2 linked regions of the Canis lupus familiaris genome follow. The protein of the gene in region 1 binds, or shares a complex with, the protein of each later gene. Links are inferred from orthologs where the notes say so. Each region holds a gene or a part of one and is shown in the gene's direction. Other genes may lie near its edges.

The links.
Region 2: EXOSC2 (region 1) and EXOSC5 share a complex: the UniProt entries of both Homo sapiens proteins name them as parts of the RNA exosome core complex. The link is inferred for Canis lupus familiaris from reciprocal best matches to the Homo sapiens genes EXOSC2 and EXOSC5.

Annotation. Positions count from the first base shown.
Region 1 is NC_049230.1:53,360,810-53,364,614, reverse strand, and holds part of EXOSC2 (exosome complex component RRP4), read left to right. Parts: intron 1-848; coding exon 849-894; intron 895-1,338; coding exon 1,339-1,428; intron 1,429-2,706; coding exon 2,707-2,772; intron 2,773-3,252; coding exon 3,253-3,321; intron 3,322-3,805. UniProt on the Homo sapiens protein: Non-catalytic component of the RNA exosome complex which has 3'->5' exoribonuclease activity and participates in a multitude of cellular RNA processing and degradation events.
Region 2 is NC_049222.1:113,382,896-113,387,499, forward strand, and holds the start of EXOSC5 (exosome complex component RRP46), read left to right. Parts: upstream 1-1,616; 5' UTR 1,617-1,707; coding exon 1,708-1,855; intron 1,856-4,604. Other genes in the region: BCKDHA (2-oxoisovalerate dehydrogenase subunit alpha, mitochondrial), read right to left, coding at 1,110-1,217. UniProt on the Homo sapiens protein: Non-catalytic component of the RNA exosome complex which has 3'->5' exoribonuclease activity and participates in a multitude of cellular RNA processing and degradation events.

The DNA of each region.
Region 1 (3,805 bases):
ATGCCTTTTATTTCTGTGTATATTTCAAAGGTGGAGCCAGTGGGATTAGCTGCTAGATGTGTCCTGGAACATGAGAGAGAGAGAGATGGAAAGGGAGAGAAATCAAGTATCCCTCCAAAGACTCCCAAGATTTTTGGCTTGAGCAACTTGAGGAATGGTGTTGCCGTTTATTGAGGCTTCACTGGCTGGGCAGGGGCTGCTGGAAAGCTTTGCTTTAGATTGGTGACATTCAGAAATGCTTATTAGTCAGGTAAATAGAGATGCTAGGTAGCCAGCAGTTGACTAGACTGCAATTCAGGAGAATGGCATAGTCCTCAGTGGTATTTAAAGTCATTACTTTGGATGAGCTCACCAAAAGGTGAGCGTGGGCCGACAGAGAAGAGGTTCACAGCATGGAACACCTCATCATTAGAATTGGGATAAGGAACTAGCACAGGGATGGGAGTCGACAACCCTGTGGCTGGTGGAGACCTGAGTGGACTGGTTTGAGTGGGGTCCTGTCTCAGTCTCCTTTGCTGATACAGAAGCCATCTGTGTTCCAAAGCCCACTAGGAAATATTCCACGCGTACTGGTGTTATGTAATTAACAAAATAGGGGTTTCAGGCTTAACGAACTACTTGGAATAAATGGTTTGTCCAAAATAGTTAATGGAGACTATTCCTACATGTAGGAATGTTTGAAGTTACGAGTTCCTGGAAGTAAGTCAGAAAAGCACAGTTATGTGAATTTACCATACTTCATACTAGTGCCTAATCCAAGCCCTCATGCTGTTGAACTGAAATCTCCAGTGGTGCTTAGTCTTGTAATAAGGTCTCTTCACTGATGGATGACCTGTTTTATCTTTCAGATATAATGGTGAAGTAGGAGACATTGTGGTGGGGAGAATCACAGAGGTAAAGTTGGTATCAGATTGGTTTTTACAAAGTAAAAGCAAGCTGGTGATTGAGTGGGATAGTCACTCTCTGTAGTTAAGTAAATGGGGCACTCATTGCATTTGACTCTTATGTGCCTCCCCCTTTTTAAAGGTTTTATTTATTATTTAAGAGAGAGAAAGAGCACACTGCTCCAAAGTTGAGCACAAGCAGGAGTAGGGGCAGAAGGAGAGGGAGAAGCAGACTCCCGCTGAGCAGAGAGCCAGACATAGGGTTCCTTGATCTCAGGACTCTGGGATCATGACCTGAGCTAAAGGCAGACGCTTAACTGACTGAACCAGCCAGGTGCCTCTTATGTGCCCTTTGATGTAAACAGTTGGTGTGTTGTATTGGGGATTATTGGTCACTTAACAATGTGAGTTCTTGCCCCTGGAGTCTGTGTCCAATTGTGAAATTTCTCTGTAGGTTCAACAGAAGAGGTGGAAGGTGGAGACCAATTCTAGGCTGGATTCAGTCTTGCTCCTGTCATCCATGAACCTTCCTGGAGGAGAGCTGGTACGGGTCTCCAGGCTGGATTTACATAGTTTGCTAGCAAAAGCTCTGGGGTCTGTTGCTCCACTAGGGAACTCTTGCTTTATGCTGAGGTTGCCTCTTTTTTTTTTTTTAATTTAAGAGTTTATTTATTTATTCATGAGAGGACACACACACACAGAGAGAGAGAGAGAGAGAGGCAGAGATACAGGCAGAGGGAGAAGCAGGCTCCATGCAGGGAGCCTGATGTGGGACTCGATCCTGGGACTCCAGGATCATGCCGTGGGCCGAAGGTAGGCGCTAAACCGCTGAGTCACCCAGGGATCCCGAGGTTGCCTCTTTTACTTGTGTTTATTTCCTGTGAGATTTGCTGCCTGGAGGTACATGTAGGCTTTTCACTTGGCCCAGGCCTTCCAACATAAGCAGCAGTTGCTATGTGGTAGGATCTGGAACAGCCTTGGGGAGTGAGCCCAAAAGAGAGAAGAGAGGCTCTCAGATGCTTGGGGCTCATTTTCCTTTTCTGGGTGTTATCAGCTTTGCATGGTGAAGGTGTTCCTTGAAAAGTTGTGTTTAGATTAGCTTTTCATAAATTGAGTGGCATTTGGTTATTCCAGACAACTGCAGTACCTAAGGGGTGGTCTTTTGTAAAATGCTGTGGTTTCTCTTCAGTCCAGCATGTATGTTCAGAGGGGCTCACTGTGCTAGGTTCTCTGGAGAACGCAAGATAAAGGAGGCTCAGCTCAGTTCCTCAAAGTGCACAGATTAGCAGGGGAAGCGAGATAACATCTAAATACCTGGCAGTCAAAGAATAAACAAGTGTCTGTACAAAAGGAGTGAGTGATTTCACTAGGAGATGCTTGTATGAAATAGGGGCCTTAGAATTGATCCCTGAAGAATGAATGGAATTTCACAGGGAATCTGAGCTAATGGGAAATGTGTGAGTAAAGATAGAGTCAAGCCAGAGCTAGTCTGGTCCTGCTGGAGCATGGAGGGCTGCCACAGGAGGTGAGTGTGAGAACGGAGGCTGGGCAGGATTGGGAGGGTTTTCAGTAGCATGAAAGGAGTGGGAATACTGTCCAGAGAAGGGGGGGCGGGGAGGAAAGAGTGGAGGAGCTGTGGGAAGGCCTGTAAAATGGAAAGTAATGGTGATCGCTCTGGTTTTCCTTGAATGACACTGTTTACCTACTATAGTGTCTGAGTACTATGGCTGGCCCCAAAGCTCTCAAGAGGAATTGAAAAAGAAGAGGAGAGAGATTGTTCTGCAGGATCTGACTTAAGTCATGTCATCTCTCTGTGTTTCAGAGGAGAAGATCTGCAGAAGACGAGCTGGCAATGAGAGGTTTCTTGCAGGAAGGGGACCTCATCAGTGTATCCTGCATCTGCCTTACAGCATCTCGTTCTGTGTGAAGCTGGGAGATGGGGCTTCTGGCGTATGTCTCCGACTGGAGACCGATAGTCCTGGTGGGGATCTGGCTCCTAGATCAAGTGTCATGGGCTCTGCTGCAGCCTTTCTCCATCTCCTTCACCCAGCCGGGCTCTTTAGCCCTTGTTCAGACCTGTTGCCTTGGTCATTTCTTTGGGGTTGTTCCTCATGGTGGCCTGTGCTTTAAGTTAGACTCAACTTTTCTTAACCATGTTAGCGCTTTTATCCAGGGAGTAGAAGAGGTATTATGTCAAGATACGTAAGAGAACCAAGGGGGAGAGGTTAGGTCGCAGTGGTGTCCTCTGGGTCTGTCTAAGGCTGCAAGTGGGGCTGTTGGGGATGGGAGAAAAGGATGGAGAGGTGAGGCCAAGGGCCCAAGGAAGGCAGGAGCCATGAGAGTATTGTTCCTTTATTAGTCTGGCCAGGCCGAGGTACAGGCGGTGTTCTCTGATGGCGCGGTCTCTCTGCACACAAGGAGTCTGAAATACGGAAAAGTAAGTTGGGCTCTTGCTATTCCTGGATGCTGACTGAGACTTGAAACCCTTTTCTGAATCCCCAGTGCTCTCTGGAGTTTGGCCCTAAAGAGCCCTGGAAGTTAAGCATTATGGGCTGGCATCCCACAAACTGGGTGGTTCACATGGTCGTGGGTCAGTAGCATTGTAACAGGTGACAGCTTCTGTTCTCACAGAGATTGTTGTGGCAGAAGAGCTCCTAGGACCATGGGCTCTGCGGCTCTGCTGTCTCTGCTTGCTCCCAGGGGCTCTGCAGCTTTGTGATGGGGCAGGGCTAAGAGGCTGTACTAGGAGCAAAACCTGATGGCCTTGGCTCTAGCCAAATGTCCAGTCAATAAAATGGATGTCATTACTGGGAAAGATTGGTTTGCCACTTGAGCTTAAATGAAATGTCACTGCTTTCTTGTATGAAGTTACATTGAGGCTCTTGCTGTTTTAATGACTGCATACTTCTTTTAAAGATTCA
Region 2 (4,604 bases), on another chromosome or scaffold:
AATCTTGGCGCTTTTCCCTCCAAGGGCCCTCACCTGTTCAGGTCCGACCAAGGTCACCTCCTTTCTTCTCCTGATCTCCAAGGTCAGTTTCTCTCCCTTCCCTCCACCCCCACTTTCAACAACAGTGACCAACATTCCTATTGCTTGTATCAAATACCAGGTCCAGTTCTCAGCACATTACATACTTGATTTTTACCACAACCCTACGAGGTGGTCAGTTAGCATTATAGAAAGGGGAACGCGCCCCTCTGTTGAGGTCCGGAGGGGCAGTCCTCTGTCCAGCATGTGGGGGACAGGAACCCGCCTTCCCAAACACTACTCTCTGACCTGGGAAATTTCAGTTCATGGTTCCGCAGCCCAAGGCCTCTCTCCCACTGAACGAGCTTCTAAGTTAGACTTCCGCTGTGTGAACTTACAGTTTGCAGCATCAACCCAAGGGAATTCTGACACTTTTGATAAGAATTGAGGCATCTCTCAAGTGTTACCCAGAAATGTGGGTGGGATGACCAGGTGGCTCAGTGGTTGAGCGTCTGCCTTCCGCCCAGGTCCTGATCCTGGGGTCCTGGGATCGAGTCCCCCATCAGGCTCCCTGCAGGGAGCCTGCTTCTCCCTCAGCCTCTCTCTGGGTCTCATGAATAAATAAAATCTCAAAAAAAAAAAAAAAAAAAAAAAGAACAATAGTAAAACAAACGCAGCGCACTATAAAAGCCCGCGTCGGAGAAGCTGATCTCTCTTTTCTCCTTCCTGAGGGGGAGCCACACCCGGAAGCCTCAGCCTCGGGCAGTCGCAGTCTCCAACGCCTGCGGGGCAATGTCTCGCCGTCCCACCGTGTCCCTCCACGCGGCCTCCCGTGGGCATGAGTGGCAACTAAAGCGGAACCCCTTCTCTCTCTCCAAGTTGTCTCCCTCTCTCCGGGCCCACAGAGGAGGCTGCCTCACTTCTCCTCTCCTGAGGGAGTGGAAGTTCTTCCCGAATGTCCTCACGGAGCAGCTCTCTCAGCCCCGGTCCCCTCTGTGACAGCCCTTCGCTCACTCCCTGCACGAACCCCACGTCGGAAGACGGCGTTGACATCCCTATTCTCCCTCGGGAAAAACTCCCCAGGTACTCACAGATCTAGCCAGCCCCCGAGCCCAAGGCCGGCGCAGGAGCAGGAGACCAGCCTGGCCCAAACCTCGACTCGAGCCCCAGACCCTCGCTGCCGCCGCCGCCACCGCCATCTTGGCTCACAACCCCTCAGAGCTCCGCCCCTCTCCTCGGCTAGACTGGGGGCTGCCCCTTCAGGAGCCTGACTCAAATGCTAGCACCGCCCTGCCAAGAAACCACCAGCGACCCACCCTGCAGTCTCCAGGGCACGGGTACGGGAGGAACAAACAATCTAGCTTGCCAAAATTACTCTCATCACCTCATCTTAGTTGTTTCTGTAACAGGCAAAGGAGAGGACAACCTGACCAGAGCCTTAGGGCTTTAGGGCGCGGGGGCTTCGGGTAGGACGAGTCCATGCCAAGGCCCGCCCTCTCTTCGCTACTCTCCAATGGGCTTGCGAGGCGGGAGTGGGAGGGGCCAGATTGTTAGTAAACGCGGAGCCACGTGCGGGAACGGGTCCTGGCGCCCCGGACCTGCGCGTGCGCACTGGGCACGCAGGCTGGACGCCCGCGCGCGCTCCCGTGCGGAAGCGAGGTTCCGCAGCGGCACGTGGGGTCTGGGGCGATGGAGGGGGCGCTGCCGGCGGACGCCAAGACCTGCGCGGAGTCTGGAACAGAGTCCGGCCCTCGGGGCCCGGGCTGCAGCCTCCGGCACTTTGCTTGTGAGCAGAACCTGCTGTCCCGGCCGGATGGCTCTGCCTCTTTCCTGCAAGGTAAGGACTTACCCTAGGCAAATACTGCCTGTGCCACGTTCGCCACGTTGTATTTGTTTCGGAAGGTTACAGGTTACCGTGCAGAGGAGTGCCACTAGCTGGTAAGTGTCCCTCCTGCACGGGTGGTGCAGTTCTTGCCCGGGAGGATACTCCCGGATATGCCGGAGTAACGTATCCTGCGCTCCCGGCTAGAAGGGAGACGGTATCGCCACCGTGGTAAATACTCCGAGGAGAGAGGCGCTCAGCAGAGTAAATATCTCCCTTGATTAAATTCGTCTCCCGCCTCCCCCGCGGACACCCCGGGTCCATGCACGCCAGGCTGCGGCAAACCTGCCCTTGCGCGTAAATAGACCCGCAAATCAACACTACCGGCTTCATTACTCTCTGGACTGCGGGCATGTCTTTTTGTCCAGGTAAATACTTTTCAGAGTATTTGAGAGTGATTGTGCGGTATATATCCCTTTGACAGCAATACACATCTCTCCATACGTGTAAATATCCCTAGGTTTGGGGCAGGCTTTCCCTATTGGGTAAAATATCTCCTTCCCGTGACCAAATGCATCTCAGCTCCCTGCCCCGGGTGAATATTCCTCTGAAGATAGCCTAAGAATCACCCCCATAAATGCTTCAGCCTCCTCACTAGGGGCATTACCTTCTACCCAGGTACAAAACCTGTTTTCATTCATTCCTTCATTGAACACGTGTATTCGCATTAAGCACTGTCCTGGGTCCTGGGAATACGTGGATAAAATACATTTTATTTTATTTTATATTAATTTTTACTTATTTATGATAGTCACACAGAGAGAGAGAGAGAGAGGCAGAGACACAGGCAGAGGGAGAAGCAGGCTCCATGCACTGGGAGCCAGACGTGGGATTCGATCCCGGGTCTCCAGGATCGCGCCCTGGGCCAAAGGCAGGTGCCAAACCACTGCGCCACCCAGGGATCCCAATAAAATACATTTTAAAGGGATGCCTGGGTGGCTCCACGGTTTGGCTCCTGCCTCCGGCTCCCTGCATGGAGCCTGCTTCTCTGTCTGCCTCTCTCTCTCTCTCTCTGTCTCTCTCTCTGTCTTTCATGAATAAATAAATAAATCTTAAAAAAAATTTTTTTTTAAATCCCTGACTTAACAGTTTATGTTCTAGTCGAGGAGACAGACAAAAGATAAGTAAAATATGTAGGAAGGGGATCCCTGGGTGGTTCGGTGGTTTGGCGCCTGCCTTTGGCCCAGGGTGCAATCTTGGAGTCCCGGGATCGAGTCCCGCGTCAGGCTCTCACATGGAGCCTGCTTCTCCCTCTGCCTGTGTCTCTGCCTCTCTCTCTCTCTCTCTCTCTCTGTCTATCATGAATAAATAAATAAATAAATAAATCTTTAAAAAAAAAATATGTAGGAGGGCAGCCTGGGTGGCTCAGCGATTTAGCGCCGCCTTCAGCCCAGGGCGTGATCCTCAAGACCAAGGATCAGGTCCCTCATCGGGCTCCCTGCATGGAGCCTGCTTCTCCCTCTGCCTGTGTCTCTGTCTCTCTCTCTCTCTCTCTCTGTGTCTCTCATGAATAAATAAATAAAATCTTTAAAAAAAAATATGTCGGAAGATGCCTATGGAGAAAAATTATAGTAGGGAAAGGAAATAGGGTGTGCCAGAGAGGGTTGCGATCTTAACCGGATAGTCAGGAAAGGCCTTGATGAGATGGTAACATTTGAATAAAGACCTAAAGGTAAGGGAGCAAACCTTGAAGATAAGCAGGAGGAAAAGCATACCTAGGATGAAGAACTGCAGGGGCAGAGGCCCTGAGGCAAGGATTTGTCTGGTGTGTTTGAGGAATAGTCTGTAGACTGTGTGGCCAGAGCAGTGAGGAGGCTGGGGAGAGCTAAGGAGGATTGCTTGTCATGTGATGCATAATGAATGAGCTGGGGGCCACTGCTTCCAAGTTTTGCTCAGAGGGTTGACATGATCTGGATATATTTTAACAGAATCTCTCTGCTGCAGTGTTGACTGTATAGATATGAGAAAGAAGGGGAGATGCGGTGGCTCAGACCAGAGTGGAAGCAGTGGAGGTGGTGAGATTCTGGGTGTATGTATGTTGAAAGTAAAACACAAAACTTGCAGATGGTTCAGTGTTGGAGTGTGAGAAGGAGAGGGATAACACCAAGATTTTTTTTCCAAATCAGCTGTACTGGGAGATAAGGAGTTCAATTTGGAACATTAAGTTTGCAGTGCCTGGTGGACATCACAGTGACTATATGGACAGGGCAATAGGATATAGAAGTCTGCATTTGGGAGGAGAGACCCAGGGGCGCCTGGGTGGCTCAGTCAGTTAAGCATCTGCCTTCAGCTCAGGTCATGATCTCAGGGTCTAGGATCCCACCCAGCATCAGGCTCCCTGCTCAGTGGGGAGCCTGCTTCTCCCTCTCCCTCTGCCTGCTGCTCCCCCCTTGTGCGCGCTCTCTCTCTCTCTCTCTGTGTCAAATAAGTAAATAAAATCTTAAAAAGAGAGAGACTCAACCTAAATATATAATTTGGAATTCTCTGGCTATAGATGGTGTTTCACACTATTGATTGGATGAAATAAAGAGAACAAGTGTAGGTGGAAAGAGAAGAGGTCACAGACTAAATCCAGGGTTGTCTAACCTGTGAGGAGCTAGGAAAAGACCAGAGAAAAGCAGCCAATAAGGTGGGAGGAAAACCCAGAGAGGACACTGACCTCAGAGGGGCTCAGAGAAGTGTTTGAGATGTAAGGGCCCACCAG